2 linked regions of the Tribolium castaneum genome follow. The protein of the gene in region 1 purifies or fractionates together with the protein of each later gene. This does not show direct contact. Links are inferred from orthologs where the notes say so. Each region holds a gene or a part of one and is shown in the gene's direction. Other genes may lie near its edges. The genes, in order: CycB and Cdk1.

The links.
Region 2: the proteins of CycB (region 1) and Cdk1 purify together in Drosophila melanogaster (affinity purification with western blotting; 8 studies listed by BioGRID, with this or other methods). This does not show direct contact. The link is inferred for Tribolium castaneum from reciprocal best matches to the Drosophila melanogaster genes CycB and Cdk1.

What each region holds. Positions count from the first base shown.
Region 1 is NC_087396.1:19,036,073-19,040,468, forward strand, and holds the start of CycB (G2/mitotic-specific cyclin-B), read left to right. Parts: upstream 1-1,433; 5' UTR 1,434-1,592; intron 1,593-4,090; exon of another isoform or gene 4,091-4,101; coding exon 4,102-4,396. Other genes in the region: collagen alpha-3(IX) chain, read right to left, coding at 419-621, 676-843, 906-1,007, 1,084-1,185, 1,261-1,315. UniProt on the Drosophila melanogaster protein: Essential for the control of the cell cycle at the G2/M (mitosis) transition.
Region 2 is NC_087401.1:17,534,584-17,538,097, reverse strand, and holds Cdk1 (cyclin-dependent kinase 1), read left to right. Parts: upstream 1-1,606; 5' UTR 1,607-1,814; coding exon 1,815-2,488; intron 2,489-2,545; coding exon 2,546-2,792; 3' UTR 2,793-2,859; downstream 2,860-3,514. Other genes in the region: CCT6 (T-complex protein 1 subunit zeta), read left to right, coding at 1-188, 982-1,133, 1,184-1,399; transmembrane protein 53, read right to left, coding at 3,110-3,271, 3,320-3,448, 3,497-3,514. UniProt on the Drosophila melanogaster protein: Plays a key role in the control of the eukaryotic cell cycle. Required for entry into S-phase and mitosis.

The sequences.
Region 1 (4,396 bases):
AAAATATAATTTTCAAACATTTAAAGATCAATAATAGACTTATTCTAATCGCTGGGACACTCTGTATGTAAGCATTTGCATGGTCAATTGTTTTATGAAACAGGCCCCAGTTCATGATTTGTAGCAAATAAAAAAATAAATTGAATGAAGTAAATACTGTTTTATATTTCTTTATTATTATTTATTAGCTTATTATCATTCCATAGTATGTACATATTGTTTTGATACGTTCCTCTGTTTCTACAATTATTGATTGTTGTTAATAACATATTTCGGCAAAGTATCTTTGTTACTTACAACAGGAATAGGAACGCTTGTCATTAACTTAATATTAATACATTTAAACAAAAATAATCAGTGCTAAGCTAAATCGATAACAGAGTGAACACATGGAATAAGGTTTATCTAAATTATCTAATTACGGCCCTTTATCATTTCCCCCAGACCTAGCAGCCATTGCCGCATAGTACTGGTAGTTTTGGAGATTATTACAAAATTCGCAGTATCCTGGAGCCCCTTGTGGCCCAGGTGTACCTCTTAAACCAGGTGGACCCGGTCTTCCCGGTTCTCCCCTATCACCTGTACTTCCCTGTAACCCAACACCTGGAGGTCCCGGAGGACCTACAACGCACAAATTGACCCAATTTATTCACAACTCAAAAAACTTCAACAAACCTGGCAGCCCCCTAGGCCCCATTGGCCCTTCTATTCCAACTCCTTCGGGCCCTCTGTCACCCTTCTCGCCCCTTTCTCCCGGCAAACCTATCGAGCCTGGAGACCCTGCCGGTCCCGGCAGCCCCATGAAGCCCCTTTCTCCGGGTAAACCGGGTGGTCCTATGTCACCTTTAATATGCAAAAATATAGCTTTTGTCGTTTTTTGCGTTCTTTTGTGCATTGAAGCTAACCTGGGATACCGGGGGCTCCTGATCGTCCAGATGGGCCGGTTCGAGTCAAGCCAGGAGGCCCCGGTGGCCCCCGTAACCCAAGTATTAGTTCAGCGTGTCTATCTGCATGCAATTGCATTATTAGTTAATGGAAATGCAGTGAAATGTGATGGGTGTGCTAAAAATAATCAGGCAGTACCTGGTGGACCTTGGACACCTGGGGGGCCCGGCCGACCGGGTCGGGAGTGACCCGGAGGACCGGGGGGTCCGATCAGAGTTGCAGATAACTCGTTTAGCTGGTCTGATAACGATAAGTTTTTAATTTGGCAGAATTTTACAATTTAAATAATTCAAGAAAATTATTAAGTGGTTTTACCTCGTAACACTGCCGCACATATATCGCGCACCTCCGCCTCCGTGAAACTCTTGCCCTGAAAATAATTATAATTTATAACAAATAATTCCTGATTATGGATCTTGAACAGTTTTTGAATTTGGCGCGTGCAATTCAAGAAAGCGCGGTGGTAGCAGCGACCAATCACAAACGCTCTGAGAAATTTAAATGTCCATTGCTCGTTTGTCGACCATTTGACATGACAACGTTGCTGCTTGCATCCACACCGGAAATTTTTATAAAAGTGAAAAGGGTGACGTGAAATCTATTCCTTTCTATACCCAGTGTTTTATAATTTTTACAATTTACACAAGGTGAGTCCTGTTTCATTCATTATTTGGCGTTTCTTTCGATTTCATTTAAATGACAGACGGTTGCAGCTTGTAACGGTCATTTTTCAAACAGCATTTATCGTCAAACTTTTTATGAGATTTTATTTAAAGGGCAATCTCGTGACTAAATCCGTCTCGTTTACATTTTACTAATGTGGGGAATGATTGCAGGCGGATGATTTTAAAAGTGAATATCTAATGTGGCATTTAAATTTGTTTCCAAATTTCTCTAATAATACGAATTAACTGAGCCCTGTTCTACAAATATTTTTTGCAACTTTGTACTTTGTAAAAATTGTAAACTCTATCTAAAGTTAATGTGTTCCACCAATTTTCTCACCCGTTTTACAGATTTTTGCAAAGTGTGCATAAAGTGCAAAGTTACAAAGTCGTTTCTCAAAGATTTCCTCTGAAATGAAAGAGTTTTCATGATAAACCTTTAAATAGATTGAAAAATTAAAAAAATAAATTGTTTTTTTTTTTTCATTTTATTTATTATTTTTTTTTTATAATTGAAGCGTTGAAATATCAAAGGGACTAAGTGCCAAATTAAAATTTTTATTCAAAGAAAACTTCTTCTAAACATGCAGTGACACTTACAAGTAACACAACTCAACGCAAATTTATCGTAGTAGATTCTTTGTAACATTATTCTCCATAGCACATACTTTTTTCTATGACACAAAATAAATTTTCATAATAAAATTAATGTTTTTGTTACTTTTGTAAAATAAAATAACTTATTAGTATTTTAAAGGAGCTCAATTCTCACCTAACTGATCAGTCATAGTGCCCAATTTATATGAATTTTATACCTTACTTTAGATCAGTGTTTCCCAACCGGTGGTTAGCAAACCCCCGGGGGTTCGCGGTGTGTATAAAGGGGATTCACCAAAAAAGGTATTATAATGGCAGAATTTTTAAACGTTAACGTAAAAAATTACAAAACAATAAATTTAAATAAACAAGATTAACTATCAGTTTTCTGTTATTTATTTGAAATGAAATGGGTTTGAAGTTATAGCAAGTTTTTCTTCAGCCTTATTTTAAAAAAATTGCATTTTTTTAATTCACTTATTATTTATTATTAATTTATTTTTGTTATTCCTTTGTAAAGTGAGATGAATTCAGCTACCTTTATTTAATTGCTTTCTGTCTCTCATAATTATTTTGCATTTTCGTTACTTTTTTGTAAATTGCTTAATTGTTTAATTGCAGTGTAAATTTAACACCTTTTGTTTTCAGATTTACATCAAAAATTCTTATCGATAGGGAATTTATCTTTGTATTTGTGTTTTCGTATTTAGATTTTTTATAGGTTTTTTTTGCTAACACCTAACATCATTTTTCAAAATAAATCAAACACTGGATCTGACTTTCTTTACTAAAATTACTACGAATGAATTGGCTATTATGGTGCCAGCGTAAGAACTATTTAACATGTCTGTTTAAAAAATTTCTCTTACATAATATTAACTGCACTCTGTTACTAATTTTAAAATAAAAAATTTAAAATATACTAATTATGTATTAGTTTTTTTTTTAATTCATATTTATTAAGATTCATTCAGTTCACAATGTGCAACAAGGAAAATAAATAGCAATAGCAATAGCAGACACCGATGGGGAATCTTTAATTGTCTGTAGTGGAGAGGTGTCCACTAATGGCAGGTGGAAATTCTAATATAGTTTTCGTTACGTTCCTACAAAAATGTCCGTTGTGAAAAGGTGTCCGTTATTCGGAGGTGTCCGTTAAGAGAGGTTTTACTGTATCTATATACAAGAGGTTTGCCATTTTCTGTCGGATTTTAGAAGGAGTTGGGAACCACTGCTTTGGACTAATGGAAATTTTATTTCTTTTTTTTTCGTGTTTGCTTCATCCACATTCAAAATAAGTAGCATTGTAAAGGCCTATTGGGAAGGCTTCTAATAATAAAAGAAAAATCATATCGTCCCATTTCAAAAATTCTGTGATAATGTGTGTAGTTACGTCAAATTTGAGATCAATTAAAATACTAAATTACCTGTTTTCACATTTTTAATTTTGGAAAAAAAGTAATATGAATTTTATGTCACTTTTTAGTGACCAAAAAAAATTTTTACGTGTTTCATTCATCCATATTCAGAATAAGTAGCACGATGTTAACTGCCTATTAGTAAGGCTTCTAGTTAAGTAATTATACAACAAAAATGATATCGTTCCATTTAGAAAAATCTGTGATGACGTCATGACGCCGCCATATTCGCCGCTATGACTGATCCAGTTAGGTCAATTCGAGCTCAACTAAAATGCTAAGCTCCCTGTATTTGCAGTTTTTTATTTTTGAAAAATAAAAGAATTACAAATTTTATGCGTTACTTTAAACTCACTCTGTATAAAACAATCGATAATGATGACACGAAAATAACCGAAGAGAAGATAGACCTTAGATTTTTTGACTAAAACTTTTAGCACTTTTTTTACATACAAATTTAAAAAGTTTTTTTACAGATGGCCCACCGTGGTATCGTAACGTCGGTCGAAAACCGTGAAAACGCAATGGTCGCCAGACCCATTAAAAACCATTTACCCGCAGGACCGAGCCGACGCCCTGTATTAGCAGACAGTCTCAACCGCTTGGCTAACGAGAAACCTCTTTTAATAAACAGGGCTGAAACAGCGAAACCTCTTATCAAACTTGATGTTAAAACTAAGACTGAAGCCATCCCACAAGCATTCAAATCCAAACCTACAAAGCCTACAAGCCTACAAGTGACCGAAGACAACTCATCTAAGAGCACAAAGA
Region 2 (3,514 bases), on another chromosome or scaffold:
TGGAGTTGTCTATGAACATGTTTTGGGCGAAAATAAATATACTTTCGTTGAGGAATGCAAAATACCACAGTCGGTCACCATTCTTATTAAAGGGCCCAATAAACACACTCTCACTCAAATCAAGGATGCTGTGAGGGATGGATTAAGGGCCATCAATAATGCCATAGAGGACAAAGCCTTGATTCCAGGTAATAAAAAGACAAAACTGAATTAAAAAAAAATTAAATTATCCTTTTTATGAGTTTCTACATGGGAATTTTTGCTGAATTTCATCATAAATCTCCCAAAAAATCACCAAATTTGTGTATTTTTTAAATTTTGTAGTCAAGAATTGTAAAAAATCTAAACTATCGTTAAATTTAGGCCGTTTTTCAAGCATATTTGCACAAAACTACAAAATTAAGCCCAGCATTATATTATTTTTGAACTTTTTTTAAGGTTCCAGCGCATTATTTTTCAGTCAGAAACTCACTCATTTCCCGAAATTAACAAAATATCTAGTTGCTTAATGGATGACGTCACAGTCATTTTGTGACGCGTCTTAAAAATGTGCGTTACTAGGCTTTGAAATTGTAAATAGGGGTCAATGACCTGACCTGGCCACACAATTGTTAATTTATTAGACTCACAATGCGTTTTCCGTTTAAAATAGAGCTCAAAAATTGAATTTACGAGTTGCTTCAACTACTCCCATCACCAAAAACCCAACTTCGGTACTTACTTGTCAATGTTGAAAATCGCCGTTTAGATCAACACATCGGAACACTGAAAGTCTTTGAACACTTTTGCACAAACATTTGCACGAAATAACCGATTTAACAGCGATTTTTCCCGAATTTACTAAGCGGTAAGCGGCCATCACGAAATTTGATGCACCGCCAATTGTTTCGCTACCAACCGTACCAATAAAATCACTAAATGTCATAGCGCTTAATTCAAATTGATTTTGCACACAAAACAGTTTTTTGTGATATTTTTCAGGCGCAGGGGCTTTTGAGGTGACCGCCCACAAAGAATTGATGGCTTACAAGGACACCGTTAAAGGAAAATCGCGTCTTGGAATTGGTGCTTACGCGGAAGCCCTTCTTGTAATTCCCAAAGTTTTGGCAACGAATTCTGGTTTCGATGCTCAGGTTTGTGTGATTTTCTCATTGATTGTTTTATAGTTATTTGTTGTTCTTAGGATACTATTGTAAAACTTCAAGAAGAATCTCGTAACAATAAGGAACCAATTGGGCTTGATTTAGCTTCAGGACAACCGATTAATCCGAAAGATGCCGGAATTTTCGATAATTACATCGTGAAGAAACAAATAATTAATTCGTGTTCGGTGATTGCAAGCAATTTATTGTTGGTTGATGAAATAATGAGAGCCGGAATGAGCAGTTTGAAAGGTTAAATGGATTTTTTTTGTCAGTAATTTTATTCACGTATTAATGCTTGATTTTGTAATTATTATACAACAATAATAAAGGATTTTAACACCCATTTTTTGGCCAAAGCTATTATTTGGCGATCGTATAGTAATTTTGTGTGTCTGAAGTTGGTAATGTGTGTCTATTTACGCCAAAAAAAAGACAGGTTATTGTGATTGACGTGAGTGCGATAGAGACGGGGATAATTGTACCCGATTGGTTGGTTCAAAAATCTCCAACGAACTTTCTCCATATTTCTTCAAACGAGCCGTTAAAAGTGTGTAAAAATTAACAAAACTCGTGTGCTTTGAATAAAATATCGTGTTTGTGGTCGTGTAGGCATTGCAATTTGACGTTATAAACGTCATTTTAAGTGGAAAGTTTGGTTATATTGGGGCAATGTCGAAACAGGGGGCCAACATGGATGACTTCCTCAAGATCGAAAAAATTGGTGAAGGCACTTACGGTGTGGTGTACAAGGGCAAAAACAAGAAGACGGGTCAGCTAGTCGCAATGAAAAAAATCCGACTGCAACCCGAAGACGAAGGTGTGCCTTCCACAGCCATTCGCGAAATCTCCCTCCTGAAGGAGCTCACACACCCCAATATAGTCTCCCTGGAAGACGTGATGATGGAAGAGAATCGTCTTTACCTAATTTTTGAATTTTTGTCAATGGACTTAAAGAAGTACCTCGACACCATCCCACAGGGCTCCTACATGGACCCCCAACTCGTCAAAAGCTACCTCTACCAAATCAACGAAGCCATTCTCTTCTGCCACCAAAGACGAGTCCTTCATCGCGACCTTAAGCCCCAAAATCTGCTCATCAACTCCGAAGGGGCTATCAAAGTGGCCGATTTTGGACTAGGGCGCGCCTTTGGGGTCCCGGTTCGCGTTTACACGCACGAAGTTGTCACTTTGTGGTACCGCGCCCCCGAGGTGCTCCTCGGCTCTGCACGTTACTCGTGCCCTATTGATATTTGGTCTCTGGGCTGCATTTTCGCCGAAATGGCCAACAAAAAAGCCCTTTTCCAAGGCGACTCCGAAATCGACCAACTTTTCCGCATTTTTCGGTAATCAAATCATGTAACTATAGAAACGAAAACAACTTGCATTTTTTTTCGATTCAGGGTTTTGAAAACACCAAGCGACGAAATCTGGCCAGGGGTGTCCACATTACCTGAATATAAGGTTACGTTCCCTAATTGGAAATCATGTACTTTGGAAAGTCAGGTAAAAAATATGACTAGCGACGCTATAGATTTGTTGAAACAAATGCTGATTTATGACCCGGCCAAGAGGATTTCGGCCAAAAAAATCGCTTTACATCCGTATTTGCAAAAGGTTGATACGTCAATAAAGCCGATCCTTAAATAAGCGGTTAGGTTTAGGTTTATCGTGTTTAGTATGACTATTTTCTAAATATATTTGTTTAAAAAATCTTTTGTGTTTGAAAACCTCCTTAATACATCATGCACGAGCTGCACGTGTATATTGCTATGGTGATGCGTCAATGTAGCTATGGTAACAGTGAAAGGAAATGCGGGACAGTGGCGCAACATAAAGCAGATCATTTGGGAACATAGTTTTAATGAAACAATTGAAATAAATACATTTTGTGCAATTCAACAACGTCTAGAAAAATAAATTGTACCCTAAAGTTTAATTAAGCGTTGAAATGTTTTTTGTGTGAATTAATTTGTGCCATTTAGGCATTTATTTAAAAAATTGCATACGCTACTCACGTAACTTTCTTTATTTTCGGTGTAGTGTTTAACATGAGGACTTGTTTCGTAACAGAGAGTTGTTACATCGATACCCAGAGATTTTCGATAGTTGGCGAAATATTCAATATCCTTGAAAAAAAAAAAAAGATGATTGGCTACAATAGTTAAGATGGTTACCGTATAAGGAATAAGAATGTCTTTTTTCGAGTAGATAAAATGTTGGGGACAGTTGTTTTTATCATCTTTCAAGTTTTCTAACGGGTTCGATTGGAACGTTTTTTTCGGACTGATGTAATTGCTAACAACCTACAATAATAAATCAAGGAATATTTAAAGTTTTTGGTGCGAACGCACCTCGTATAACCAAATCAT